4 linked regions of the Rhinolophus ferrumequinum genome follow. The protein of the gene in region 4 interacts with the protein of the main gene of each other region in a biochemical or structural test. Links are inferred from orthologs where the notes say so. Each region holds a gene or a part of one and is shown on either strand. Other genes may lie near its edges.

Region 1 (7,806 bases), on a different chromosome or scaffold from region 4:
CTCTCTTGCATTCTGACTAGGAATATGACATCTATCTTTAAAGTCACAATAGAGCCGCACTTGCTTTCTAAAAGCCTTTCCTAACCCCAGCCACACTGACTCTCTGTCCTCTGAACACTAGTCCTCACTGTCTGTTCCAGGACACATAATCATATCCCTTCGTGCACTTGTATATAATTGTACCACATCATGCCTCACCTCGCCAGATCTTTTCGTGTACTTTCCTCCCCCACACTATAGTCTACTGCTGGCACTGAGGAAAGTCATTGTTCTGGGATCTTGGGAGGGAGCCTTGGCAGGCACACTGAGAAAGAGTCACAAAGGTGGGGACGTAAGAAAAAATGATACTCAGCTTGAAAAGCCTCTGTTCATTTCACTCCTGCAGCTCACAATTCCTGCCCTGTTCCTGGGGTTTCTGTGGGGGCTTGTGAGTCCCCTTCCTCCCTCAAGTCTGGCTCAAATGATACCTGAAAGGCTTCTCTGAGGGCCTGGGCCTGTTCCCAGGTGCGATTGTCCTGCCAGGGTCGGCCTGTAGAGCGCGTGGGGCCTGCACGGAGACTCTCCCCAAAGACATCCAGGTAAAAGAAGACATAATCCCCATTGGTCAGGTTCTCCCTCTGGGCTTGAAGCAGGATCTCATGCAGCATCTCCAGAGGGCCGCAGATATACACAACTGGGAGCAGGTGTACAACACAGGGCATCCTGAGAACGGATCCAGGTCCCCAAACAGCCCCCTCTCTGACACCATCAGTATTTCCATCTTTAGCAAGGCAGAGAGGGCCCTCACCTACCCACCACCCAACAGATGCTCCCGAGCCCTCCCTCTTGGAGTCTACGTCATAAGTACCCTGGGGCCACGCAGACCATCTGGCAGAAGTCAGAGTCTGACTCCAGACCCCAGAGAAAGGGAGCTATCAGCCTGAAGCCCTCCTCTTCCCAGAGCCCTGCCTGCTGCTCCCCACCCAGCCCTCCTCACTCCCCCACTCTGCCCTGCCTTTCCCTACACTCAAAGGCACTGGATGCTCAGAATTTCTCTATGTGAGCTTTACCTGCCTTTCCCAACCCAAGCTGCTGAACCCCAAAGCCCATTTATACAGTCATTATTACTTTAGGGACATTATAGACCCACACTATAAGGGTCTTGGTACCCCAATCTGAGAAATCTCTGCTCACAGTCACACATTTTGGAGCGGCCATTAACCACATCACTACCCCAGGGCACTCACACTGCTCCCCAAATTCAATGCCCCCCCAGTCCTACATTCTCCCGACACAAGCTTCACCCCCAGGCTATCTTCCTCCTTGTTTACATCTGCCCCTGACGACCGCGAGCTCCCCTGATATAATGCCTTAGCCCTCACATAAGTGCTCTGTCCACATGTGCTTCTGATACTTCTGGATCCCAACCACCACGTGCAGCTCCTCAAGGCCAGGCTCCATCGACAGCGTCTCAGTGCTGACCTCCAGGGAGACAGCGACCCTCCTCCCCTGACCCTAAAATAGCCGGGGCCACACTTACTGCGCCCGTTGGCCCGGATGAAGTGGGTGGCCTGCTCAGGGCCCCCTGGCTCTCGGGCATACACCTGGTGCTGCACACTGAGGTTGCTGCCCTGCAGGGCCTCAAAGACGCCCTCGATGGTGAAGTAGTGAGGCCGGTCGTCTGTGCGAGCGTCCAGATACAGCAAGGCAGCACGGGCGGTCCAATTGAAGTGCCCATGTAATGTCACTACAAACTCACCCAGCTTGGGAGCAGAGGGGCCAGTGCGCACCAGGGTACGGTAATGCTCATTCTTAGCCGCAAAACCAGAGGCCACAGCACCCGCAGTCAGCAGGGGAAGGCGCCAATGAGACGCAAAGCGGGCCACCGACGCAGCAGGATACACACAACCTGGGCCCAACAGAAGGTCAGGGTCATGGTACAGCTTGAGGTCCACAGCGCGCAGCGGTGCCAGGTACTCAGAGCAGGCGCCATCTAGTTCAGAGCTGACAAACCGCAGGTCCACAGGCAGTGCCCGGCCCAGCGCCTCCACAGCTAGTGCCACAGCAGGACCCACCCGTGGCCAGGCCCAGGCATAGCTCAGGTTGTGTTCTGGCAGCACCACTGCCAGTGTCAGATTCCGCGCCAACGGAGGACGCACCCCACCTGCCAGGGCTGCCACCAACAGCAGGAGTGATGGCAGTGCCATGGGGAGAAAGCAGAAGCCCCACCAGCCCCAGATCCTGGGGCCACTCTGGCCTACCTGGGAGGCACAAGCACCACCCAGCCTGGAACCTGGGGAAGTCGGTCAGGAAGAGAAGTGAGGATAAGCTAGGTAGACTGAGATAGGAAAGTGGTAGGGTGGGACAGGAGGAGATGGGAGGAAGGCCCAGGGGGTGGGTAAGGAGTGGGTCTGCCTGCCTTGGGTAAGGACTGAGCACTAAGAGCCGGGTGGCAGGAGGAGGGAGGGACCAAAGGGGCCTGCGGCTGGGATGGGGACAGTGAGAGGTGAAGTAGACTGATGAACTTAAAGCTGAGAAGGCAAAAGGGATCCGAGGCTGGGATGGGGTGGGGGTGGGGGGAGGCTGGTACAAAGAAAAGGCCTGGGGGCTACCTCACAGCTGAAGGGGCTAGGAGGGCAGAGAGCGGCGAAAAGGACCAAGGGGTAAGGTGGAAGGGGGCCCGCACCGCGGAAGGACTGGGACCATGGGCAGGCAGGGAGCGAAGCGAGGCCTGGGCCGGACGGTAGGGAAAGGCACGGGTAAATCTCCCTGTGAAGGCTTCTCCTGAAGCTCCTGCTTGGACTAACGGGCCCAGGGCGCTGGTCCCATCCGGAGCTGCGGCGGCCCCGCCCGTGTCCCAGCTCCTCTGCTCAGCTCCTCCTGGGCCCGGGCTGCCGGCGCTGCCCGGCGCTTCCTCCCGCCCCCCGCCTGGGCCCCCGCGCGCGCCGCTCGTCCAGGTCAGGTCGCCGCGGCAGGGCCCGTCTCCGCTCGCTGCGCGGGCGGCGGCCGCCGAGTGTGACTCCTCGGGCAGGCCGCCTGCCCCCGCCCCGCGCCTCCCCCGCCCCCTCCCCGCAGCCCCTCCTCCTCCCTCTCCCGGCCCCACCCTCCGGCGCCTGCAGTCTCCCCCCACCCCCCACACGGGCGCCTAGGGACCTCCCAGGTCTCCAACCCACCCGGTGACAACTCAGGGGCGCCGCACGGGGCCTCTCAGGCCGGCGAGGTTTCTGGGCGTCCTCTCGCTTTAAGGGCCTACCCCTGCCTCCCCCAAGACCATGGGCCACTCCTCTGCTCTCTATCCATCTCACTTTCCTATCAGCCCAGGGCCTCTCTTGTTAGGGTCCTCTCTCTTAACTCCGCTGAGTCCCTCAAATACTCCAGTCTCCAGGAAGCAGTCAGGAATCCCCAAATATTTGGAATCTTCACCAGTCCTCCACCTAGTAAACCTTACCACTCTTCTCATTGCCAGGAGCCTCTCCTTCACCATGCCTGCTCGCTGGAACACTGGCCCCTCCAGGACCAAGGGGTGTCAGTGATCGAGTTTTCCTGAGTCCTTACAAAGCCCAAGTCTCCTTTTCCCTTAGGACGCAAAGCTCCAATCTCCTTCTTCCTGTGCCCATGCCCCCGGCGCGCCCTCCCATGTCCTCAGAGGCCCACCGTAGCCCACTGGGCTTCCACCACACCATCTGCTCCAGGGCAGGAGCCTGTGACAGCCTCTTCTCTCTCGTCTCCCCACTCACCCCACACAGCACAGCCTAGCACCTGATAAAAGCTGGTGGACCGGCTATGCAGAACATTCTCCCAGCAATTAAAGCCCATTGTATCCCCCTTGGGTTCCTCCCCACTCCCAAGCTTCTAACCTAGAAGGCTCACCCCAGATACCCCATATCTGGATTGCGGATCTGATCCTGAGGAACAGCTTGTGAGGGATGACATCATGGTTGCTGGGTGGGATTACTATGGGACCTTGGGGAGTTTTTCTCAATTGTCATAAACCCATTCTCCTCCCCCTGCCGAGAGCCACAGTTCGTCTCCCCCCTTCAAGCCACTTCAGAAATCACAGTGCCAAGAAGCTACATGAGCGCCTGAGTAGAGGGAGGAGAGGGGTGGGAGTGCGAGGAGAGAGGAGGGGGCGTAGTTTCTCTGAGATGAAGGCGACACCTAGTGGTTTTGGGGAAAATTTTAAGGACAATGCTATTTTATTCTTAGGTACGGTGTTTCTTTATTGAACACTGGCTTCCTTGCACATGCGTTAGGGGTGAATACAATAAAAGCTGAATGATGTAGCCCTTACTTTGAGGAGCGTACAGATGGAATCCCTGAGGGTGCCGAGACCAAAGGCAAATCCCCCAGTAACATATCTTGCCCCAAGCCCCAAGAAATGGAAGTAAAACAGCTCCTTTTTTGATCACGAAGGGATGGTAACTCCAGTTCCAGCTTCCAACATTGGTGGTGAAAAGGAATTTCATTTTATCTGAGCAAGGAAAAGAAGGATATAATAGACAAAAGGGTGATGGGAAACCTGAGAAAAGACGTGGCTCTAACTTTAGACTGACCCAACCAAATAATACTTTTTAAGTAACTACATACAGCTTAATGAGAGAATCAAACCCAAAATGATGCAATCTCTGCCAGAATCACAGAATTTCAGGGCTAGGAGTTGTTTTATAAAGATATTGTTCAATCCCCTCATTTAAAGATAATTGAAACTGAGTCCTAGAGGGGGAAGTCACATAGCTTCCTCAGCTGACTCTCTCCCCCAACCCTACTTGGCTTTTAATAGTAGAACAGAGACTTTCCTGGTCTCTAAGGTGGGGCTCTGTATAGCTATTCTGCTGACTCATGGAACTCACCATATGAAGCCATGCTTACAGGACAATGGCCACCAAAGACCCAGAGGAGTTTCTCTGGACACCTGCAGACCCGAGTGAGGACCAGTCAGCACTGTTGCCCAGACTCCCAAACAAATTTAAGTGCAAGGTATGTCATTTCAAACATCTTTCCCCTTCTCTCTCTCTTCCAACCGGCCACTGATACTAGAAAGTGGGAAAGGGTGGAGAAATAAAAGTTAATCGCTTAATGTGCCAAAGGCAGTGAAAGGCTTTTGTTTTGTTTCTTCATTTGGGGGTTGTGGTGAAAATTTTAGATAAATGAGAAATTTGGTTATCTACATGTTCCCATTATCCAAGAGATCACTGCTGTCACTGATGTGGACAATCAGATTTGGGCTGTGTTTGGTGACTCCATGCAACTCATGCAAAGCCTGGGAAATCTAAAGATCCTGCTGGCCTGAGCAGCACCAAGCTAGGATCCACCTTTCTCTCCATAGGGTTGGTAATGCCTCCTTCACACAGCCGATCTATAATTTCTTCTGGAACAGGACCAACCCATGCACCTTATTTCTGATCCAGAGCTAAACTGCAGAACATCAGATCAGCTAGATGCTGGAAGCTGCTGTGGTTTCCAAACTACCTTGTTCCTTAGTGGAAAGAAATTCTGAGCCCCGTCACACTTAGGCCAAAGGACCTTCAAGACCCCTGCCAAGTTCTGGCACTGCCGTGGGATTCTGGCTCCCACTAATCTCCATGGCAAGCTTTGATATCCCAAACTGACTTTCAGTTCAGCACTGAGCAGTTTTATAACCTACCTCATTTCACACCTAACTCTGAACCCTCAGGTGTGCACTACACCAGACCATGCCTCGGGGCTGTAAGAAGCTGGAGAAACAAAACACCTTCCAGCCTTCTCCATGCTTGACTAACCTGACTTGCAGAGCAAGGCCCTGATTATGTGTGATTGTCTTCTGCGCACAAGACACACGGGTCCAAGAGAACCTGCCAACAGAAGGCAGAGAACAGGCATGGAAAGTAAGATAAAATAAGGCAGAAACGGTACACTTCAACTGTAACATTTCAATCAGGGAGAGGAGGAGGCAGTGAAACGTATTGAAGGCAAACAAAGACATTACTAAAATTCTGCATTATTTCTTTTAGCCTCAGTGAGGGAGAGATAGAATCCTGAAAACAGGTCAAACCCCCATTATTGCTCATGTGGCCCACTTCCCCCCATACAGCAGCACACAGTATGGTTCTATACCTTGGGTCCAGTTCACCTTCTCATAATAGTCAATATCCTTTAAGAGCTGCTGTTATTGTTTAAAGGGTCAAGGGTTTTTACTTTGAATTCACACATCGCTTTCTTTTATGAATTAAAAAGTTTTTTAAGTTAAAATATTTTCAGATCAGATCTCAGCTTCTAATTTACCTGTCTAGATAAGTATTCTATAAGTTGAACTGGTTCCATACTCTGAGGGGCAGAAATACCAGTTTTGTGAAAAGATAGTCCAGAAGAGTAGTTTTTTCCATGAAAAATCTTTCATAGAGAGCCAGTGATCCCTAAGAAGGAATTTAAGAATTATCAGGAGAATTTATGTTCAAGATGATTCAAGCTCTACCTAGGTGAACCCATTTTCACCTGTCTGCTCCATCCAAGCCTGGACTAGCACTTCTGTGAGTGTCCCGGAAGGTCCCAGTGGCTTCGATGGCTCTTTCATACTTGCCCTGTTTTCCCACGTACATATACTGCTTCCCTCTGTTCCTATTTCCACCCATCACCATAATTACCAGTAATTACTTACCACCCCTTGGGAGCATCTGATTGCATAAAGTCTCCAATATAATATTCTCTGTTAATATTTCCCTCTCCACTCCACTTAAAATTCTACTTTCTTCACAAAATCTTTCACTGAAAAAAAAAAGTGGCATATGTTCCCTCGCGTTTTAAGTCCTGCTCAATTTACAAAAATCTCACATAAAAAAAAGCAGAGGGAGCATGATCACATTAGCTTCTAGAGAACTGAAGTGTATTTATCACTCTTTTAATCTTCTGTTCTGCTTAGAATTTTCTAGAGAAGCCAAAGACTGGAAGAGGAGGAGAAATCTGAAGCAAGACTTGACAAAACCGTACTCTTTTGCATGGCTGTAGTATGTCATGAACAACAGAACAGTTAACCTGACATTCAATGTAGGGCTGTGAAGACCAGTGAAGAGACTCCTGGAGAAATTCAAGCATGAAATGCTAAGTGCCTGGTCTAGGATGATGGAATAGTAGTGGAAAGAGAGAAACAAATGTGAGATGATTTGAAGGAAGAAACAACAGGACTTGCTGGCAGACTGAACCTACAGGATAAACAAGAAAGAGTCAAAGATTACTCTAAGGCAAGGGTCACAGAGGCAAAAGCCAAGCAGAAAATGTAAATGCGAGAAGCAGCTGGATGCAGCCCTTGCTCCATCTAAAGTGGATGCTGCCACTCTGGGATGGAGCCCAGAGTTGCCAGTTCCAACATTTTTTTCCTTTGGACTGTTTCAACAGCCTCAGTGACAAGTCTCTGGGCCTCCAGTCTCACCTCCCTCCAATCCACCCTCTACAATGTGTTCAGATGCCAAAGTGGCCTTTTGAAATGAAAACTTAATTATGCCACTTCCCTGCTTAAAATCCTTAAATGGTTCCCCATGGAAGCTATGTTTTTCAAGCTGTTATTTTTAGCAGTAAAACCCTTTCTCCAAACAAAAATTTAAGCATAAAACAGAAAGAGGCCCAGCTGCTGCAGATGAGGTAGCAATGGTGGGCCCAGAAACAGGCACCCCCTGCCCTTAGCACCTCCTGAGCCCCTGAACCTCTGGGTGGTACCCCTCAAACAGGGGGAGAACAGAAAGATTTTCCAAGGGGTATGTATGCACAGGTGGTTTCAAGAGAATCCCTTTCCAGATCCTTCCCTCCCATATGTACTCTTCCCTAAAACTAATTTGCCTAAGAATAAGCCTGTGCTCA
Region 2 (7,164 bases), on a different chromosome or scaffold from region 4:
CTGGAGGTCCACTGCAGGGTCCCAGAACTCCCTCCTACCAGGCCGTCCTCCACGGTGAAGTTAAACTGCTCCCGGGCCACATGCTTTAGCTGCTGCAGGAAGTGCACGTACTCAGGATTGTCTGGCTCTTTATACGTAATGATTTTGGCAGCCTGAGGAAGGGGTCAGTGGGGACGGGTGAGCTGGGGGCTGACCTGTTCTCCCAGGACCCACCTCCCAGAGCTGCATCTCGGCTTAGCTCAAGGTCACACTGGACCCTACGCCCGCCCCGTGAGGTGACGCCTGCCCTAAAGCAGGAAATCCAATGGGACGGCTGCCCCGAGTCCTGTCAGTCTGCGGGACTTGCACCTCCTTCCACCTCAAGGCCATTCCCAACTCTTTTCCGCCTCCTGGCTCTGAGTCCCCGGGCCCCTGCCCTTCGTCATCCAACTCCCTGGAGCGTCAAGAACCTCTTTTTTTGGGATCCTTTTAGACACTGAGGCACCCACTGCCCTGACACTACGTGCCACCAGCCGGGAGACCCACAGCCTCGCTTCCCACCTGGACACTCACCTGAAAGGCCTGGTGGGCTCTGACATCCTGCCCATCCCCTCTCTCCCAAGGCCTGTGGGGGTCACGGCCATGTGCACCTCGCAGGCTTTGCCCGAAGAGGTCCAGGTGGAAGAAAACGTAGTCGCCCCCCCTCAGGCCGGCTTCCACCGCCATGAGCATCAGGGTTCTGAAGGCATCTGGGGAGCTGCAGACGTAGATAACTGGGGAGGAAGAGGGCAGTCAGACAGCCGCCTAGGGCCCCGGGGCAGGGGGACTCTTCCGGTAGAGAAGCTGGGGCTTCCAGGGGGACGTCCTGAGACCCTGGGGTAGTTCAGTGGAACTTCTGCCTCAGTCCAGGCTGTGGCAGGAGAAAGATGGCGATGGGTGGGAGGCGGAGGTGGGAGGCGAGAAGGAGCAGAGATCGGGACAGTGGGAACAGCAGAGCCGAAGGTGGGGATGGTGGGGTCGGGAGGGGTGGAGGAGGGAGAGGAGGGCCAGCTGGAGAGGGGACTGCGGAGAAGCGGGTGTGTGGGAGTAAGGGGAGGAAGAGATGGAGGAGGGGAGGAGGCCGTTGGGAAGAGACAGAAAGTGGGCGAGAAAAAAGGGACGGGAACTAAGCCGGGACCTACTAAGTGCCAGGGTGGCAGCAGGCATTCCCCCGCTCCCGTTAACTCCGGAAGAACCGGTGGGCAGGAGGTGGGACAGTAGGGGAGGTGAAGAGAGACAGGAGCGTGGGAACGAGAAGAGGGCACTGGAGAAAGAGAGGGAAACAGCCACTCAGAGGTGGAACGGGCCGAGGAGGCTGAGACCCGAGTGAGGAGCCGCGAGGAGGAGGAGGAGGCGGCAGGCGGGAGAAGAGAGGGTTGGAGGCGCTGGGGCGAAGCGGCGGCCCCGGGGGCGCTGTCACCTCGGCCCTTGCGCTGCACGGTCTGCAGCAGCTTGGCGTAGTGGTCGAGGTCGCTCTCGGCGAACTCCATGTGTTCCACCGTGATGTTGAGGTGGCTGCGGAGGCGCAAGAACAGCCCCTCCACGACGAAGAAGCAGGGCTGGTCGTCGCCCGGCCGGTAGCCGTAGAGCACGAGCGCCCGGTGCTCCCAGCCCAGCCGTCGGTGCAGCGTCGCCACGCAGTCGCCCAGCTTGGCGTAGGTGGGCCCGGCGCGGGTGGTGAGCGCGTACTCGTCCTTGGCCCCGAAGCCCTGCGCCGGGGCGCCGGCCGTCAGCAGCGGCACCCGCCAGTGCGCGGTGAAGCGCCCGACCGGGGCGGCGGCGTACACGCAGCCGGGGCCCAGGAACACCGCCGGCTGGTGCTCAAACTTGAGATCCACGGCGGTGAGCGGCGCGGCGGTGTCGGAGCAGACGCCCCGCGCGTCCTCGCTGCTGCCCAGCACCGTGCGGACCGTCCAGCCCGGCAGCAAGTCGGGCCGAGCCTTCACCCCGGCCAGGGCCAGTTCCACGGCCGGGCCCACGCGCGCCCACGACCACGGATACGAAGTGTTGACCAGCGGCAGCAGCACGGCCACCGTCAGGTTGCCCGCGTGGCTGCCCGGGAGCAGTAACAGCAGCGGCGGCAGAAGCAGCGGCAGGCGCCGGCGGGCGCCGGTGGGCTCCCCGGGGTGCGGCATGGCCTCAGCGGGCGCCGGGGCAGGCAGGCGCTCCCACCATGGCCTCCGCCGTGCGCTCGGGCTCAGGGCGCGCCCCGGTGGGAGGGGGGCGGAGCGGGGCGGGGGCGCCCACCCGGGAACCCGCTGTCCACTCCAGCTGCGACGGTCACGGCCCGGAGCGCCAGCGGCCAGCGGGAGGGAGGGCGGGCGGACCCCGGCTGGGCGCGCGCGGGCGGGGTGCGCCGAGGGCTCTGCGGAGCAGGTGGGCGCGGGGAGGGGAGCGCGGCAGCCCAGGGGACCCGAGTGAGCGAGAACGTGTGCGTGTGCGTGTGTTAGGAGGGAGAAGGAGAGAGCGCTCGCTCGCGCTCCGGGGAGAAGGTGGGAGAGGGCGCGAGGGAGGGAAAGGGGAGTGAGCGTCGCGAGTGCGGGAGCGCTGCCCCAGCGAGTGAGCCAGAAGCGGCGTCCGGCCGGCCCAAGTCTCCGGCGGCCCGGGGGGAACTGGGGAGGACCCGAGCCAAGCTCCGAACCCTCCCTCCCGGCCGCTTCCCCTCCCAGAAACGGTGACAGCAGAGCCAATCCCGGATCTTTAACTCTTTCCTTCCTGCCCCCAAGTGGCGGGCTCTCCCCTGCCCACAGCCCGCGCGCTGCCCCCTGAGACTCTCTCCCCGCTCCTGGGCCGCCCAGTGTCTGCCCCCCTCAGAGAGGCGGCCCTCGCCGACCGGGGCCCCCCGCCGGGATGGGAAGGAGGACTGAAAAGAGAAGAGTTTGGGAGCCACCGGGGGCGTCTTGCGCCCACATCTTGTCCTTTCTCACCTGGTTCCGTCGGGGGAAGAGAGAAAGACTGTTGGTTTGGGATCTCTCGGCAGGACAAGGTGTGAGTGTGTGGAGGTGTGTGCATGGGGGTGGGACAGGAGGGTGACGGGTTTCTGGAAAAGACGTTCAAGTAGGGGAGCCCTGGGACCCAGGGATCCAGTCCATCTAGGATCGCCCCACCCCACCCCGCCTGCCCCAGGGAGCGCATCCGCGGAGAAAAAGGACCCGGTGGAAGGATGAAGTTAACTCTTTAGTTCCCAAATGGTTGTGGGCAAGGGAGGGAGAGCTTGAAGGTGGCTGGAGGGGGGAAGAGGTGTGACCTCAGGGCCGCTCCGGCAATGTGACTGTGTGCGTGTTTTGTGTTGAGAAGGATTGTTAAAATGGGGTTCGTGGTGGCGGTGGGAGATGGTGTTGAAAATGACCAGGAGAGGCGTAATTTGGGGAGAAGTTTTGGGGGCACTTGACCGCTGGGCCGCAGGGCGGGACCGCTGTGGAATCCGTCTGCCCTCTAACGGTCAACAGGCGTCATTGACAGTATTTTGCCGCCAACCTCTCCAAACCTGCGCCTGGGCAGGACCCAAGGTCCCCAAACTTCCTTGGTTTTGCAAACAGTTCCAGGGGACCTCGTACGGGTTAAGCACCAGCTAGATGCTGAGGGCAAAAGAGAGAAATATATGTAGTCGTACCTTTGAGGAGCTCTATTTGGGATAAATAGCCATAATGTAATATCGTTAAGCACCAAAACAGAGAGATGGGATACATTGCATAGAGGCCCAGGTGAGCATTATTTTGCCTGCATCGGAGCCAGGAAAACCTCTAAAGAGAAATAATTAAACAAGGGTAGAAAAATGAGAAAGGTATTTTGTGTAGAGAGAGCAGAATACTGAAGTACGTTTTCTATATATGGAATATTAGGAGAATTTTGAATATAATTATGGTCTAGAGCAAACGGTAGCCCATGGACCAACTTCAGATGGCGGGCATGTGTTGTTTGTCTTGCATTCTCATATATATATATACACACACACACACACATATACATATATACATACATATATATACATATATATTCATATTTAATTTAGTTGCCCACGCTTAAAAGCCAGCATATGGTACATGAATATTTGGAGTTCTGGCTTGTCTTGGAATATTGCAGAGCTGGTAAGGTAGGTCCTGCATCTCTCCCTGAATCGTCAGCTGGAACCAAGTACCCCTTACCTCCTTGAGATGTTTAGTTTCTCACGGTTCTTAGCCACCCTGTTTACTCATTGTCATTACTGGCTGCAGTTTATGTTTACAACCCTGATGTAGGATGTAAGATGTTGGAATTACCTGGGAGGAGATGTCTTTGTTCTTTCTGTTAGTGGGGCTCCAGATTCCATAGACGTAGATAGGAGTAGGAGATTGGGATATATATATATATATATATTTTTTTTTTTAAAGAAAACAGTTTTATTGAGATATAATAACACAATAAACTGTACATATTTAATGTATATACAATTTGAGGAGTTTGGACATATTTACACACCCATGAAACCATCACCACAGTGTCTAGGTAATAAACATACCCACCACTTCCAAAAGTTTCCTTGTGTCTTTGTGTGTGTGTGTGTGTGTGTGTGTGTGTGCGTGCGTGTGAAGAACACTTAACATGAGGTCTACCCTCTTAAATGTCTAAACGCATAAGACTGTATTATTGACTATAGGGAGATGTTTTGTAACTAGATCAACTGGACTTCAGGAAGAGAAGACAGTATACAAATAACTGAAGTCTAGGTGACATCGACCCATTCGTTGAAAAGCTGAAGAAGCAGGTTTTGGGGAGATTATAATAATTTCAGTTTATGGGGTTTGAGGTGCCTGTAGATACCCAGGTGGAGGTGTCCAATAGGTCCTTGAATTAGTGGAGCTGGAGCTCAGAAGAAAAGACTGGACTAGAAATCTAATTTAGTAATTGAGCTCCTCCATCAGCAATAGTGGACCAAATAATGTGTCTAATCCCTGAGCTGAAGACAACTAAAATGTTGGATGAAATCTTTTAAAAATCAAAGCACTAGTAAAACAGTGAGGAATTATTGGTGTGAGAGCAGAAAAGGACAGGAAAATAGAGAGGTGAGACCAGCAGTGGGACTGCTTTTACCCTGGGGTCATTTGCTGGTCCGCATCGGTGGCGGAAAAAAGGCTGTGTGGGGCAAGTGAGACAAAAGTTGGAGTCCAAATGTCCCTAAGGGTGAGAACCCTGGTAAACCACTGTACTATTTGGGGTTAGGTTCCTGGAAGGCTGCATTCCTAGGGAAAACCTAAGAGTAGGTAGAAAATCCAGCTCCAAAATATTCAAAAACCAAAATTCAGAACCAATTGATGGGTTTCACAGCAAGTTAGACTCCACTGAGGATCAAGTAATGAATCAGAAGGAAGGACAGAAGAAATTACCCAGAATGAAGCGTGGATAAAAAGGCATGAAAAACATACGAGAGAGTTAGAGGCATAGAGGATAGCATGAGAAAGTCTGAAACACCTTTATTTGGAGCCCAGGACAGAGGGAAATAATAGGATAGAAGTCATATGTAAACAGATAATGGCTGAGAAACTTAAAAAGTGAGTGAACTACATCAAGCCACAGATTCAAGTTCAACAAACCTCAAATAAGATGAAAAACAATTCCCTATTTAGATCCATCGGAGTGAAAGTGCGGGAAATTAAATAAAAAATAAAGCCTTTAAAATAGTAAAACGTATTGAGTACCCTCAAAGGTGCAGCCATTAGATTGACAACGTTTTTTTCACAGTAAAAATGGAAGCCATAGACAGTAAAAGAATATTGTAAATGTGCTGAAAGAAAATTAGTCCCATCTAGAAACCGATACCCAGAGAAAAAATGTCCTTCAAAAACAAAGGTGACACAAAGACGTTCAGACAAACCACAACCAAGAAAATTAGCTACCAGCAGAGGGGTACTTATTCTCCAGCAGAAGGATCAGTCCAGATGAATGGTGAATGGTTGGAGTTGCAGGAAAGAATCAAGAACGTTAACAACGGTAAATCTAAAGGACCACAAATTTAACTAATAAGCGTTAATGCCTTGTGAGATTGAAAATATATAATTTAAATTCTGTGCACATATATCTTACACCTACCAAGATGTGGAATGCATCTGACCACAAGAATCTTGTACACAAATGTTCATAGCAGCTTTATTCATAATGGCCTCAAACTGGAAACAACCCAAATGTGTTTGCCTGTGTCTCAGCCAGTTGGAGGTCCTGAATTCATCAAGAGGAGAAAGGACAAACAAACTATGGTGTATTTATGCTACTCATAAACAAAAAAATTAATTGCTGATAAATGCAAAACCCTGGAAGAATCTTGAAACGTGTCAAGCAAAAGAAGCGAGGCAGAAAAGAGTACAAACACTCTGAGTCTATTTAAATGAAGGTCCAGAACAGACAAAACTCATCTATGATAATAGAAATCGGAACAGTGATTGTCTCTGTGGGCGGGGCAAAGGGGTATGAACCAACTTTCTGAAGGGATAAAAATTTCTTTATGTTGATCTGGTGGTGGTTACATGGACGGGCTACATCACTCAAAGTTTCTCGAGCTGTAGGCTTAAGATCTGTGCATTTTGTTGTAGTAAATTATACATCAATAAAGTACTTAAAAGAATTACACAACAGCGATAGTATATAATTCTGGAGGGAGTAATGGTGGTAAATAGAATTAAATTATTCCTGCATTTCTCACGAAGACGGTAAAAGTATTACATAAAATTAGACTTTGCTAAATTAAGGATGCACGTTGTAATTTTTAGGGTAACCAACTAAAAGAGTAGAAAAAGAGTGTGTAACTTTCAATTAACAGAGACTGGGAGGTAATAGTGCAAAAGAAGGAGGCAAGTAGGGAAGAGAAAGATTACAGGAGGGACAACGCACATAGTAATATGATTGATTTAAATGCAAATACAGTATATACGTATATGTGGCTGTTAAAACCTCCTAAAAGGGTGAAATCCGTCAGTTTGTAGAGAGGGAAGAAGAGAGATGGGGGAAACTGGGCAACGGGGATGGGTCTGGCCCTTCTGTCCTTACTACTTCCCTGCTCTTTTTCTGAGACCTGTTTCCAAAGCTGCCTCAGTTTTGCTTCTAGTCCCTCACCATCAGTGTTTTCCCCGCTCTGATTCAGTCAATATACTGCCCCCTTTTCTTAAATCCGCTTCT
Region 3 (7,268 bases), on a different chromosome or scaffold from region 4:
GCTATGAGTCGGAGATGGCCACATTGGGAAGGGGGTGGCCGCAGCCCCATTCTCTAGGGCTCCTCGGCCCACTCTCACCTGTTCCTGAGACCTCCAGCCTCCGGTTGCGCTGTCTCAGGTGCCGGGCGGTACCAAGTCGTGGACTAGCCTGGCGCCTGGCTCAGCCCCTCTCCCCTTGGGTCTCCCGGCGTTGGGTCGTGGAGAGCTTTACTGGGATTGCTCCACTAAGAATCCAGGCGCGTGCGCGCCTAGCGGGACCAGAGGCGGGATTCCCCCAGCGTTGTGCACCCCAAACCTGACACCAGGAGGGAGGGAAATGCGTTATGCTGGGACCTCAGCCAGCCTTTCCGCTGTACTCTACTGTAAAATGAGCCACATTGGGGGCTTTCGCGACTGCGTATCCGCGACCACCCGCTCCCTGTAGCCATAGCCACCATCCTCAGTCTTGAGCTCTTCGTCCAGTTTGGTGCTTATTCAAACCCCCACAGACCCGCGAAGAAAACGGTGGGGGCGGGGGCGGGAAACACAGGGAAAGGAGGTTCGGCGCTCACTTCTCCAGCGTGCGCGCCCGCAAAGCCTCGCTGCGGGTGCTTTAGAGACCGCGATGCCCAACGCGCCGGGGGAAGTGAGTGTCGCCTGAGTCCAGACACAGAGAGGCATTTTTGGTGGAAACCACATAAGCTCGTTTATAAGGGGTTGGAAGGAATGAGAAGGGCGATAAATGAGCTTTTAAAAGAAAGCTGGGGTCTGTGGAAGGAGCAGCGGGGAAACCCGGAGACCTGAGCTAGCCATGTGGCGGCGTGCGGGCTTTAGAGCGTCTTCAGACGCTTCAGCACAGGAAGGGGTGCAGGTCCGAAAAGAACTGGGTGACAAGTTCTTTTGGCCTCTGCATGTTTTTCAAACCCTGGTTGCAGTAAGGCACCGGGAGTACGCCCCTAATCACCAGCCAGGCGCTGGCGAAGGGGAAGGGAGGAAGGAAAAACCTAGGCAGTTTGACAGCACCTGTCGGACCTGGGCACGCCGGAGCTGCGGGCTCAGACGCCCCTCCCCCAGGTTCCACCACCTTCCCCGGACCCTCTACGTACACCCCGCGACCGCGATGGGTGCTGATTAAAGGTTGTAGCTGCCAGACAGCTCGTTCCCGAACGCGCGCCCTCCCCTAGTCCTTAGTGCCGCAGCTGACAGTGGGGTCCGCAGAGGAGCGGATGGGTGTGTAGGGAAAGCCGGCGGGGGGGAGTGGTTGGGCTACCGCGGGGGCCTGGGGCGCGCGTTGCTCACCTCGCTCACTGGCCTGGATGTAGCGCACGATGTCGTCCACGTCTAAGTCTTTGGTCTCATCGAAGCTGTAGGCGGACGTGTGCAAACCCTCCTCCTGGAAGACTTCGTGGACGCCCTCGAGGGTGAAGTAGCAGTTCCGCTCCAGCTTGTCGTCGCTGTAAAGCAGCGTGGCGCGGCTCCACTGGTGGTGGCGGAACAAGGCGAGCATCATCTCGCCCATCTTGGCGTACGCGGGGGATACGCGCGTGAGGTGCGAGTACTCCGTGTCCTTGTGCTGGAAGCCGGCGGCCAGTGCCCCGGCGGACAGCATGGGCAGGTCCCAGTGCGACGCCAGCCGGGCCACTGGCGCCGCCGCGTACTCGCACACCGGCCCCAGGATGAGGTCCGGCTTGGCGCCCCGCGCCGCTGCCACGCGGTCCACCAGGCTGAAGAGTGCACGGTTACCGCAGTCTGAATCTTCATAGGCCACCTGGAAGCGAGTGCCGGGTAGCAGAAGACGCTGCCCGGTCCGGTTGCCCTCAATGCTGCGCAGCGCGTATTCGATGGCCGGCCGCACCCGGGCCAGGGAGAACAGGTACGAGTCGTCCTGGGGCAATAGCACCAGTACCTCGATCTTCTGTGGCGGCAGCGCCTCTCTCTCCCGGCGCTCGCCGCCCAGGCCCTCGCCCCCGCTGCCACCGCCACCCGTGCTGCCGGCTACCGACACCCAGCTGAGCAGGACGAACGCGGAGAAAGTGAGCAAGGACAGCATCGTGCCGCAGGAAAGCGCCGGCCCTCGCTGCCGACTCGCCCTCTGCCCCCCACCCATCCTTCCTCTTTCCTCCCCACTCTTCTCTCCGAGGTCCCTGCGCCCCCTTGGGCGCTCTAAGAAAACAGAATACCCCCTTCACTGACTCGCCAAAAGATAGAGAGGAAGTGTCCTTCTTTGCAATGTCACTCGTTTAAAAAAAAAAAAAAGAAAAAAAAGAAAGAAAAAGAAGAAAAAGTTCACCGGGTGTAAACCTGTACGCCTGTAATATATTTATACATATATATATATACTTATCATAAATATATATATTCGCCCTCCCTTCATATATACTATTTTGCTTAGAGTGGCTTCTATTTGGGCGTCGCTAAGGTCGCTTTTGAAAGCATATTTGTAAAAGAAAAAAAAAGTTAGACTTGTCCAAGTGCTTGTAATTGACGGTGCATCTGCTTCGCGTTTGATCTCATTGATTCGCGCCGGTTCCTGGATCCATAACCAGCGTTTAAATAGCGTGGCAGCGGCGGAGCGTGTTACCACACAAGGCGCGCCGAGGCCGGCCTTGTATTTCCAGCGGGTGGGGAAGGTGGGGGTGGGGAGTAGTGGGGGCTGGGCTGGGGGAGCCTCTCATTAACATTCTTACATCAGGGCTCCTCCCCGCACCCCTTCCCTTCCCACCACTCCCCTTTCCCTAACCCCCACTCCCCTCCAACTCTCAACCTCTTCCTTAAAGCCACAGTCGCCCACGTCCGCACCCGCAGGAGCCCCCACCGCACCGCACCTCCTCCGGGGTCCCCGCCTCTCCCTGGCCCCGCACGAAGCAGCGCTCTCTCCAGCCCTGGGCTCTAAAAAAAGAAATGCTTTTGAAAGTAAAGCAATGCGCGCAGGCACAAACACAACGTGCAAAAATAAACAGCAGCATTAGAGGAAGGAGTGGTCCTAGAAACTGGTCGTTTCGGTGCAAAAATCCGTAGGTCCCGCTCGCTCTCACCTCTTTCTCACTCCGGCCACATTCCCTCATGACGCGCCAACTCCGGGTGAGCACCCGACCTTCCCTGTCCCCTGGCGCTAGGTAAGGGAACTGGGGCTAAGGACCCAGTGCAGGCGGCTTGATCGCGGACCTGAAACGCCCTACTAGCCCGGGCGTTAGTCGCACCCCTCCTTCCGCATCCCAGCACAGGCCCCCCTCCCGCTGGGCAGCGCAGGTTCGCGCCGGAGTCGCAGCGTCGCTGGGATCCCAGGGATCCCGCGCACAGACCCTCTGCCGCCGCACAGCGAGCAGGAAAGCGAAACTTGTTGCTCCCAAAGACAAGCGAATGGTCTGGCTTCTGGAAGTGGCAAAAAGCTTGAGAAGCATCTCCAAGGCGTCCTCGGGGGTTGTTTGCTAAGCCAGGTAACTAAATAAAGAGACCTTCTCCCCATTTCGTTACCCCAAGGGTCCCCTGGGTGCAGGCGCGCTCTCCGCTCCAACCCGAGCGCTTGGAAATCCAACCGCTTCTCCCTGGGGGAGCGCGAGACGCTGTGCTCTGAGTCCTGCAATGCCGAAAAGGGTCCTGCCTGGGAGATCCAGTCCCGCCACTGGTCACAGCCACAACAGCAGTGGAGACAAGGATGGAAAAGGCCGCAGGGAAGTTCGTGGCCAGAGGAGCCTCGCGGGATTCCGCGGCGCTGCAAAGCCGGTCCGAATGGAACTTGACCCTCTGAACGTGGTAGCACATCCAGGTCATTTGCGATGTGAACGTGCTACATCGGACGGGAGAATTCTGGCACTTAAGTCCCGCAAATTAAAATAAATTGGAAATGTTTTAAAACGGTCTTCCATTTGACTGGGCGTCGTGTCCACACATTTCTATTAGTCTTAGACTAACGCCCTCTTTCGGCAGAAACTTGCAGCCAACTGGTATGCAGAGTGCCGCGGCTCCAGGCTCTGCGTGTTTTGTTTTGTTTTGTTTTGTTTTGTTTGTTTTAATGCCGAGGCCCGAAAGAGCAATCGCTCTCGTTTGTGAGCGTGAAAATGCAAATTGGGGTTTCCGGAGATGTGGCGGCTTGAGGCAGCAGCGCTCGCCGCCTTAATAGCACCCTCCTTACCGCTCTTTCTGGCACCAATAGTGTACGGGTAACGTTTCATCCTCTGGGTCATTTAGATTTCAGGTTATGCACTATGATCCCTGACTCTTCATGTAGGAGCTTCTAACTCTTGGGAGAACTTTTCATTTGTTTAATTAGAGCTGCTAACCAGTAGGAAAAGAAGCATCTGTACAAGGTTTAATTCCACAAATCGGGTAATCCACACACACTGGATACTGAGATTTAGGGTTTACACAGCAATTAAATCCTCCCTGAACTCCTGGGAAGGAAAGGAGGGAGGGAGGAAGAGAAACAGAAAGAAAGAAGGAAGGAAGAAAGAGAACAACGGCTTAATCCGAGGGTTTTAATGGATTTCCAAACCGGTTGCCAGGAAACGTCAAGGAACCGGGGTTTCCTATTACCGTTCGCTATGCCGTGTGTCTGGGGAACACCAGCCAATGGCGATATGATCCTGCACACTGTGTAGCGTGGGCTTATTCGGAGAGTCTGGAGTTTCAGTGGCACCGGGCGTGAACGCCTCTCCTCTCCCAGGCGCTGCCCAGCGGCGCCGAGGGTCACGCGCCGGGCAGTAAGTTTACGTTTGGGTGAGTTTCAGCCTCTCGGTGGCCTTTGGATCAGAGCTCTCAACTTCCAGCTTGTCATTCAAAAGTACCAACAAACCAGGCTGTGGACCGGAAGAGCCCCCGAACTGGACAGCAGAACCAGAAAAGCCCTTAAATTTTTCCAAAGAGCAGAAATTAGGATTTTTAAAAGTTTTTCAAATGAAAATAGGCACGAAAGTATAGAAACACCCCCCCCCAGTAATATAAGTATACGGATTTTAATGTTACCAGTTTGTTTACTTTCCATCAAATTCGATTTTTCCCAAGCAGCTGAAAGTTTGTGTAAATATTATGAATGTCATGGAGTTCTCCAATCTTAGGGCTGGAAAGGACTTTAGAAGTTGTCCAGCCTGACACCTGGCACTCTCCAGATGAAGAACTGAGGCCCAAAGAATATAAATGGCACACTTAAATACCTCTTCATCCCCTGAGAATATTTTCATGTGGAGTTGGATTAGAAATAAAGCATGTACCACCCATTACACCATGTGAAAGAGGGAACAAAGCTAACTTTCACATTAAGCAATAACATTCTTTATGTCAAAATTTTTCTTTGTGTGTAGCTAAGTTTTGAGGATATGCAGCACAATAAGATTACTAACAATTTATCATAGAATTTTTGCAGCATTCTAATCATGAAGATAAACCCAGAAAGAAGGGGGGGAAAGTGAAATAATTCAGCCCTTAGACTCAATTTTTAAATATTGTTCTTTTTAATTCTGTAAAACACTGACATGGAAAAAAAAGAGAGACAAGGAGCACTTTTTTTAACACTCAAAAGAATTGCCAACCTTCTCTGAGTGCATTCTTTCAGGTCACAATTGCTGAATGAAAACAAAAGAAAGCTAAAAGGAAATGCTGCAAAATAAAAAAATAAAAAAAAAGAATTAGCCAAATGAAAGCCTAAGGACAGTGCTAGCCCTAAACATGATGTGACGGAATCTAAGAGACTTTATAGGATTTAGAAATGTTTCATCAATATCCACAAATCATGTTCTTTTTAAGTTGCTAAACAAGTTGGCAAGTTTTCCTTAAAGTATTCAACTATGTGTTTTCAGCTCTGCGAAATGAAATCAGTGTCTGTATCTATTCTCCTGCTACCAGGAAAGACAGCATTATATAGGGAACCTTACTGAACATGCAGTTCTTTGAAATGTGTCAGAAATGCTATCAGAGAGAAGTTTTCTCCACCAATTTTAATAGCCTGTGTGTCCTTCCTCAGAATCCTGAAGGCAACCTCTAAAACAGAGCCCTTCCCAGTTTTCAAAGAGAATCTCTTCTTGGTTAAGCCAGCCCTGAAGTCACGCTGAATAATGTCCCTGTGAAGCGGTAGCCCACAAAGAAAATACCTTCTGTATATTCGAATTGTTGAAAACACACTTCCCCCTAGAGGCAGAAAAGATGAAAGAATATTACACTTAATTCAGGAATATGTCTGTAACTCATTGAGTGTTGAGATTTTATTTTTAACCTATAGATGATGTTTTTTGAGGGAACCATTCAAGATGTGGGAGGAAAATCAATGAATGCCAAAAAATTAAAACTTGGCCTCTAGGTCATAGCTTTCCTTAGCAGAGACTGTTAATTGACCCTTTTTCTTCTATTATACAAATCTACGATTTTTTTTCTGCCAGCACTATAAATAATAGTGATTATATATTTTTTCTATTGAAATTTATTATTCAATTTCATCAGCAACTACAGTTAAATGTGGCCTTGAGGAATGCTTTTGAAACCACAGCTCTGACAGATTTATCTCCTTCTGGTCAAATTTGTTTCTGTATTACTGTCCTCTTACGGTTTCCATCAACTACAAACTTTCTTTATTTCTTTGGAGATTTCTTTGTCTTCTGAGACAAAATGACATTATAAAGACTTCCAGAAAATACAGAGCTGGTCTGTGATTTAACGTGAGTACTGGCATGGGTTTTCTAGGATTTGCAAGCCACATGAAGAATTCTCATATTGCTGAGTTATAGGCAAGTTATTTAATGTAGATTATTACATTCACAAAAACAGTGGATGTGCCTCAACTTCATGCACACCAATACTGACTATATTTAATTGGTTTATTTAGTTGTACATTGCATTATTCCAGAAAGGATTTGAGAAAGCACGTGGAGTTTTAGAAAATTTCCTCAGGGCAAAATGCACAGCCATTGGATCCTACTCTCTTGGATCCTACTTTGTTCCTAAGCCTTTACTAATGGGCCAAGCCTCAGCAACATTTTCCTCTCCCATCTGAGTTTCCACAGAATTCCTAATCACACTCAATTTTCTTTCCACGTACAGAGAGATACGTCTTGGTTAGCATCCAGTCTTCTGAGTTGTATCCCGTGGAAACAGCAGGCATTTAGAAGCCTCACAAACATGGCTGGAGGTTAGTGATCACCTAACCTACTGGACCTTCAGTTTTCTCACTTTCCTCAATGTCCTCGCACCTAACATGGAGGTAATGATATCATCCTGATGTTGCAGGAGTAAGAATCAGAAACAATAGACGCAAAGTGCTTCGAATACAGTAGGAAATTAACAAATGGCAGCTCTTGGTATTA
Region 4 (7,107 bases):
CCTTGTTGATCTCATTTAGGTACCCATAACCTCTCATGGACACTGGGTTCAAATGAGAAACAGCACAAAGACCAACAGCTTCGGGTTCCCCCCTCCCTCCCTCAAAGAAACATTGCTGAGAAGAGCAGAAAGGCTGTGAGAGTGCAGTTCAACGCTAGGAGCTCAGGGAGCCGGCACAGGCTTCAGAGTCTCTCGGATCTGCACTCAAATCCCAGTGATGGCATTGAGTGGCCGCATGGTCTCAGGTAGGATGCTTCATTTTTTTCTGGGTCTCGGTTCTCACATCCATAAAACGGGGATAAGAATAATCCTGTCTCCTTTAGCTGAGTTGGACCATAAAAGACATGATGAAGGGAGCAGAGGCCTGGGACCCTGAAAAGCAGGGACAGGCTCAGTAGTTGATCAGAAGGATGCAGGGTGAGGGGCCCACAGAGGACAGGGCAGGATCCCTACCAGGACTCCCTGCTGATTACAGCAACACAGTAGGATTCTGGTTCCTGTCTCCTTTTCTACCTTAGAATGAGGGCCTTCTCTCTCAGGGCGGGAGGAAGTGATGCTGCATGGCCCCAGGGAAGGGGCGCCCTGAACCGCTGGGCTTCTCGCCAGACACTTCTAATCTTATGGGCTTGGGAAATGATGATACCATCAAACTCAGGGTTTGAAAGCTCCTTTCAGGATGACATCAGGGATTGAAGGCTTGAAGCTGAGGTTTGGGGCAGGATAAGGGGCTCACTCCCCGCCCCCCTTCAGGAATGCAAATGAGCAAGTGGTGTATGTGCGCGCGCGTATGTGTGTGTGTGTGTGTGTGTGTGTACACTCACGCGTGCGCACACACACACTGCCCCCAGTCTCTGAGATTTTAGCTTAGACCTTCTGGAAACAACACCAGGAAGAGTGGAATTCTAATGGAATTGCAGGCAGAGGAAAGAGGAGTCGGGCAAACACTGACACACACACTCACGTTGCACAGATACATCAGGGACCATTCCTCTCTCAGGGAGAAACTGCCGGGCTTTGAAAAGCAGTTTCTGGGAAGTGTCTTAAATGCCTGAGGTATTTCTAGACATTTCAGAACATGAAAAACCCATTAAAAAAAAAAAAGAAAGCCCCCTCCCCACTCCACCCTTGTTTGACCAGCCCTTGAGACCATGTCCCTACCCCGTCGTTAAGACACTTTTGGGACCTCCAAAAAAACACAGGGTTTGGGGTTTCTTTTTTGAAATGATGCATTATATTGACTGCACTAAGACAAAACTATTTCAAAAGAAAAAGCTTTAATGTTGACTTTATCTCACCACGGAAAATTTGTGCTCAAAGGTGAAAACTGGATTACATAAAACAATCAAATAAATATAAAAAAAAAAAAGCAGTAAGTAGGAGTTGCTTCAAAGGAGACCAGAGTTGATGACGAATCAAGTGCAAATGTCTGCCGCCAGGATTTCCTCTTAACCCTCCAACACTGTGGGGGGGGAGAGAGAGGGTGATGATGGTGTAAGAGAGGGAGAGAGAGGCAGGCTCTGAGCTTCCCCTCACTGTGTGCCACCCCTGCCCCAGCCCCCGAACCTCGGCTGATCTAGATATTTGAAAATTTGCAATAATTCATCTCTCAGTGCCTCAGTTTCCTCATCTGTCAATAGGATTATGGCCACCCTGATGATCCTGCCCTCTGCTTTTGCAGCCATAGACAGTTAATGGGAAACCAGAAGGAAAATGTGGGGGCAGATGGGTGGCTCAGTTGGTTAGAGTGTGAGCTCTGGGCAACCGGGCTGCCAGTTCGATTCCCACATGGGCCAGCGAGCTGCGCCCTCCGCAACTAGAATGAAGTCAATGAGCTGCCGCTCAGCTCCTGGGTGGCCGGATGGCTCAGTTGGTTGGAGCGCATCCTCTCAACCACAAGGTTGCCGGTTCGACTCCCATCCGAGGGATGGTGGGCTGCAGCCCCTGCAACTAACAGCGGCAACTCGACCTGGAGCTGAGCTGCGCCCTCCACAACTAAGATTGAAAGCACAACAACTTGACTGGAAAAAGTCCTGGAAGTACACACTGTTCCCCAATAAAGTCCTGTCCCCCTTACCCAATAAAATCTTAAAAAAAAAAAAAAAGAAGAAGAAGGAAAATGTCTAGGGCACTTTCTGCTTCCAGGAAGAGCTGCCAGGCATGCTGGATGGCACCTTAAAGCAATTTGGACCTTTTGACAACAGGTACAGGAGGAGGATTGAATGTGGGCGGCTCTCGTGGGCGTGGTAACATTGAATATTTCCAGAAAGGCACTCCTTGGCCCTGAGAACGGTCAGCAAGAGGGGGTAATGTCCAGGTGTCCCTTTCTCAGAGTGTGGTCCCCAGAGACAACAAACCCAGAAGGCACTCTCATGGTGGAACCCCCAGGAATGAGGGTGGGTGTGGCCAAGGTGGCAGGGAGGGAGCTCACCATTGCAGCCCAGGCGACTGGCGGTGTTGATGCGATCCATCTTCCGCCCAAAGCAGCTGGAGGCAGGCATCGTCTTGCTGCCTTGTTGTCTCTGCTGGGTCTGGAAGTCACTGGACCCAAGGCTGCCAGTGGAATTTGCCTGTTTGGCCTCCCAGTCTTCTACAGAACCACTGTCCTGCTGGTGGAGCTTTGGGGCCATCTGCTCCTCCTGCTGCTCTGAAACCTCGTCCTGCAGATTGTCCAGTAGTTTTTGCGGTGGGTGGGGATGCCTGAGTTTGGGAGCCCAAACCTGAGCCCAACCACCCTTGATGGCTCCCTAGTGAACCAACTGCCTGGCTCCCCGTCTCACCACTTTCTGATTCCCGAGGGAGGGTGAAGACCGCTTGTGACAGTCGGCGGAGACCCGTTCACTGCTGCTGCCTCGCCCTCCAGGCCCGAGGGGTTTATGCAGTCTAGCAGTGCTCACCTGTACTGTGGACAGTTCCATGGTAGGGCCTGGACCACCCACAGGGTGGGAAAGACCTCCTAGCGGTGAGAGGTGCAAGAGCAGGAGAAGCAGGAGCGCCCGGGGTAGCGCCATCTGGGGGTCCATGTGGCTGGAGCGGCGGAGGTTGCTGCTGCTGCGTCTGGGTTCACGGCTCACCTCCCCGCAGCCCACGGGTGCTCTTCTGGATCCTTGGGTGCCCACAGCCTTTTATCCTGGGCCCGGGATCCTGGCTGGCCCTGCCCTCCAGGGTTATCTAGATTTATCGCCCGTATTCGCTCCGGCTGAGGTCAGGGCGGGGGAATGCACCCTTCAGCGCCTGCGACCTGTACTCCTTGGGATAGAGCCTGGGAAGAGCAGGCCTTGTGTAGAAATGGGCCTGGCAGGAGGCGGGAGCGCGCGGGAAACGCCAACGCGTCCCTCGTCTCCTGCAAAAATCCCATAGGCCTTAGAGCAGCGCTTTCTTTTTCCTCCCCACCCCCAACCATTCCTGAAGAGGGACAGAAAAACTCCAGCTGATGGAGGCCCGATGCAAGTGCGGGGCGGGTGGGGTGACGCAGAGTGAGAACAGCCTCAGCCAGCTCCCACCACCGCAGTGCGTCTTCCCTCCCTTCGCAAATTCTCTCACCAGCCTGTAAACTCCGCACTCCTGGCTCTTTGCACCCTGCCAGGCGGTGGGTCTCCCCTGTGCCCTGACCGCTGTCCGTGGTTCTGATCTCCCTGAGCAAACTCAACGCAAAAGGTCTTGCTCCCTTCAACACAGGTCTAGCCAGAAAGACAAGTGTGGGGCAGGGGCAAGACCCCACCCCACCCTCCCACAACCCCTGCACTAGGATGCTAATTCTCCAATGTCACCTGATTAAAAGCCTGGATATGACAAGGACTTTCTGGAATGCTGACCCGACTTTCATCCCTTAAAGGGTAGAGCTGATTTGGCTGGAATTTTGAGAGGCAAGGCCCAGAGATGAAGTCATCCAGGAATGCCTTCTATCAAATCTCCTCCAGGTGCCAACACCTCCTCTCCATCACCAAGCCAACATATGACGGGAAAAGCAAGGATGACTGTAAGATAGTTATCTATTTGGTGGGGCCCTAGAGGTGTGAGGAGTGCCCTCCCCCAGGCCTTCTTCATCTGCTCATCCATGATCTAATTCCCATCAGTAGATGGTCTGGACCTCCCATCTGTGATTACAAATGAGGCTCCAAAAAAAAAAAACAATGGCCCTGGGAAGAGACAGAGATTAAATCCCCTGAAAGTATGCATGACCGATGTCACCACCCCTTCCAGATAACTTGTGTTAACAAGCGGCAGAATGAGGGAGCAGCGTTGTTCAGGAAGAGAGATTGGCCATGACAGAAGTGGAGGAAGGGACAACAACGGGCAGAAGCTAGGACCTCTAAGCAAATCTTGCCTTAAAACAAAAAAATCAGGGGCTGGCCCGGTGGCTCAGGCGGTTAGAGCTCCATGCTCCTAACTCCAAAGGCTGCCGGTTCGATTCCCACATGGGCCAGTGGGCTCTCAACCACAAGGTTGCTAGTTCAACTCCTCGAGTCCAGCAAGGGATGGTGGGCAGCGCTGTCTGCAACTAAAATTGAACACAGCACCTTGAGCTGAGCTGCCGCTGAGTTCCCGGATGTCTCAGTTCCTTGGAATACGTCCTCTCAACCACAAGGTTGCCGGTTCAACTTCCGCAAGGGATGGTGGGCTGTTCCCCTGCAACTAGAAAACGGCAACTGGACCTGGAGCTGAGCTGCGCCCTCTACAACTAAGACTGAAAGGACAACAACTTGAAGCTGAACGGCACCCTCCACAACTAAGATTGAAAGGACAACAACTTGACTTGGAAAAAAGGCCTGGAAATACACACTGTTCCCCAATAAAGTCCTGTTCCCCTTCCCCAATAAAATCTTTAAACAAAAAAATCAGCATCTGCCAGGTATGGAGTGAGAAAAATACTGTTATTTTTCCTCATTTTTCAGATGAGGAAACTGAGCTCAGAGGAATTAGTTTACTTTCTTGGGGTCACACAATTGACAAGTGGTGAAGCCTAGATTTCAACCCAGGCAGTCTGATTTCAGACCTGAAGCTCTTCATCGCTACCAGGGAGATTGCAAAATGTTTCTACTAAAAGGAAAATTAGATTAATGAGTTGTCACCTCTCAAGTTACAGGGAGCTGTGCTGTGAGGGATATGTAAGTCTGGTGGCTGTGCATGCATATGGTAAAGTTGAGCATTTTGCAGACGAAGATAGGGGAAGGGCATGTAAAGATGCCAATCCTGGGAAGATTCTGGAGTCTGGGGCAGTGTGTGTGTGTGTGTGTGTGTGTGTGTGTGTATACACATACATACCACAGGAAGAATATCCAAAGACTTAGTGGCAGTGAGAGAGAACAAAATCCAGCCAAGTGCAGAGCTGAGTCAAAGGGTTGGGGGCTGCCAAGGGTGTGGAGTTCCTCATGCTGGGTGGCATGAGGTCAAGGGTTTGGGGCTAGACAAGAGTCATCAACCAGCCCCTATCAAGAACTGACTGCATCTAAGCTGAGCCTCACTTTGCTCTTCTGCAAAATGGACATATGCTCCCTCCTTGTAGGCACTCAAAAGGAGAAAATGATGTCTGCGAAAGCCCAAGGCAGTGTGGAAAAAGAATTCAGAATGAGTGTGAGAGTTTGTCCTTGTAATGTGATCTCACTGAGGAAACAGTCACCCAAAAGGAAACAACTAAGTGCTAAGTTCTCTGACAGTTGCTACCTTCCCCCAGTGGACAGGATATGGGAGACTTTAGAGAAGAAACAAGACTGAATGCATAGGGGAGGGATATTATCAATTCAGCATTCACACCAGATCATGCCCCACAAACATTTATTGAGTGTCTACTGTATGCCATGCACTTTCCACTTCTATTAAATGGAGTTAATTATACCACGTATGTCACGGTATTGCCACCTAAGGATTAAATGAGATGGTATATGTGGCAGGCTGCATAATAGCACCCCAAATATGTCTGTGTCTTAATCCCCAGAACCTGTCAATGTGTTACTTAACATGGCAAAAGGGGCTTTGCACGTGTGATTAAATTAAGGGTCTGGAATTGGGGAGACTATCCTGGATTATCCAGGAGGACCTAATGTAATCACAGGAGTCCTTATAGGAGAGAAACAGGAGGGTCAGGGTAAGAGAGAGAAAATGGAAGGATGAAAACAAGTCAGAGAAGAGAGAAGATACTACACTGCTGGCATTTTTGAAGATGGTTTTGAGGATGGAAGAAAGGGCCACACGCTAGGAATGTAGTTGGCCTCTAGAAGCTGGAAAAAGGCAAAGAAATGGATTCTTCCCTAGAGCCTCCAGAAGGAACACAGGCCTGCCTGCTGACAGGATTTAGCCCAATGAGACATATTTCAGACTTCTGATCTCCAGGACTATAAGAAAATAAATGTGTGTTATCATTTTTTGTTTTTTATTTTTTTTATTGGGTAACAGTGTGTTTTTTCCAGGGCCCATCAGCTCCAGGTTGTTGTCCTTCAGTCTAGTTGCGGGGGGCGCAGCTCACCATCCCATGAGGGAATCGAACCCGCAACCTTGTTGTTAAGAGCGTGCACCCTAACCAACTGAGCCATCCAGCAGCCCCTAAATGTGCGTTATCTTTAAGGCACTAGGTTTGTGGTCATTTGTTTTAGCAGCAATACAAAACTCATGTAGTATATGTAAATGCTGGATACAGTACCTGGCACTAGTAAGTCCACAGTAAAGGTGGCTATAGTGGCATGGTGGTTCTCACCAACGTCAACCCCTGGGTGCTGGGTGCTAGGTGCTGGCTACTGAGAAAGACAGGAGACCCTTCATTTATGCACCAAGATTTCATTGAAGGCCTGGGGTCCCAGTGGTCTGGAGTCCAGACTCTGGATCCAATGCCACCTCAACCTTCTGCTACTTCTGTGACCTCGGGCAGTTGATTTGTCTCGCCTGATGTTTCTTCATGTCCACCGAACAGGGCTGCTGTGAGGATGAAGTGGGCCTGCGCAAGTAAAACTAAGCTTTCTGCTGGGAGGTAGGAATACACACTGGGAGAGGCAAATCGCCCCTTTGAGGAACATACAGCGTAGGAAGAAAACCAGGCGCAATCACATGCCGCTTCCCCCCCAAGACATGACCACTGACACAGCGCCTTTGCGGTGCAGGTCCCCGCCCCCCACCCCC

What was found.
Region 1: the proteins of NPPB (region 4) and NPR2 form a complex in vitro, tested with the Homo sapiens proteins (3 studies listed by BioGRID). The link is inferred for Rhinolophus ferrumequinum from reciprocal best matches to the Homo sapiens genes NPPB and NPR2.
Region 2: the proteins of NPPB (region 4) and NPR1 form a complex in vitro, tested with the Homo sapiens proteins (2 studies listed by BioGRID). The link is inferred for Rhinolophus ferrumequinum from reciprocal best matches to the Homo sapiens genes NPPB and NPR1.
Region 3: the proteins of NPPB (region 4) and NPR3 form a complex in vitro, tested with the Homo sapiens proteins (4 studies listed by BioGRID, with this or other methods). The link is inferred for Rhinolophus ferrumequinum from reciprocal best matches to the Homo sapiens genes NPPB and NPR3.

What each region holds. Positions count from the first base shown.
Region 1 is NC_046295.1:51,958,850-51,966,655, reverse strand, and holds the start of NPR2 (atrial natriuretic peptide receptor 2), read right to left. Parts: upstream 3,003-7,806; 5' UTR 2,187-3,002; coding exon 1,520-2,186; intron 674-1,519; coding exon 468-673; intron 1-467. UniProt on the Homo sapiens protein: Receptor for the C-type natriuretic peptide NPPC/CNP hormone. Has guanylate cyclase activity upon binding of its ligand. May play a role in the regulation of skeletal growth.
Region 2 is NC_046305.1:52,592,330-52,599,493, reverse strand, and holds the start of NPR1 (atrial natriuretic peptide receptor 1), read right to left. Parts: upstream 3,001-7,164; 5' UTR 2,154-3,000; coding exon 1,439-2,153; intron 753-1,438; coding exon 553-752; intron 153-552; coding exon 39-152; intron 1-38. UniProt on the Homo sapiens protein: Receptor for the atrial natriuretic peptide NPPA/ANP and the brain natriuretic peptide NPPB/BNP which are potent vasoactive hormones playing a key role in cardiovascular homeostasis.
Region 3 is NC_046290.1:21,521,735-21,529,002, reverse strand, and holds the start of NPR3 (atrial natriuretic peptide receptor 3), read right to left. Parts: upstream 3,002-7,268; 5' UTR 2,087-3,001; coding exon 1,279-2,086; intron 1-1,278. UniProt on the Homo sapiens protein: Receptor for the natriuretic peptide hormones, binding with similar affinities atrial natriuretic peptide NPPA/ANP, brain natriuretic peptide NPPB/BNP, and C-type natriuretic peptide NPPC/CNP.
Region 4 is NC_046292.1:8,039,739-8,046,845, forward strand, and holds the start of NPPB (natriuretic peptides B), read right to left. Parts: upstream 3,021-7,107; coding exon 2,895-3,020; intron 2,658-2,894; coding exon 2,429-2,657; intron 1-2,428.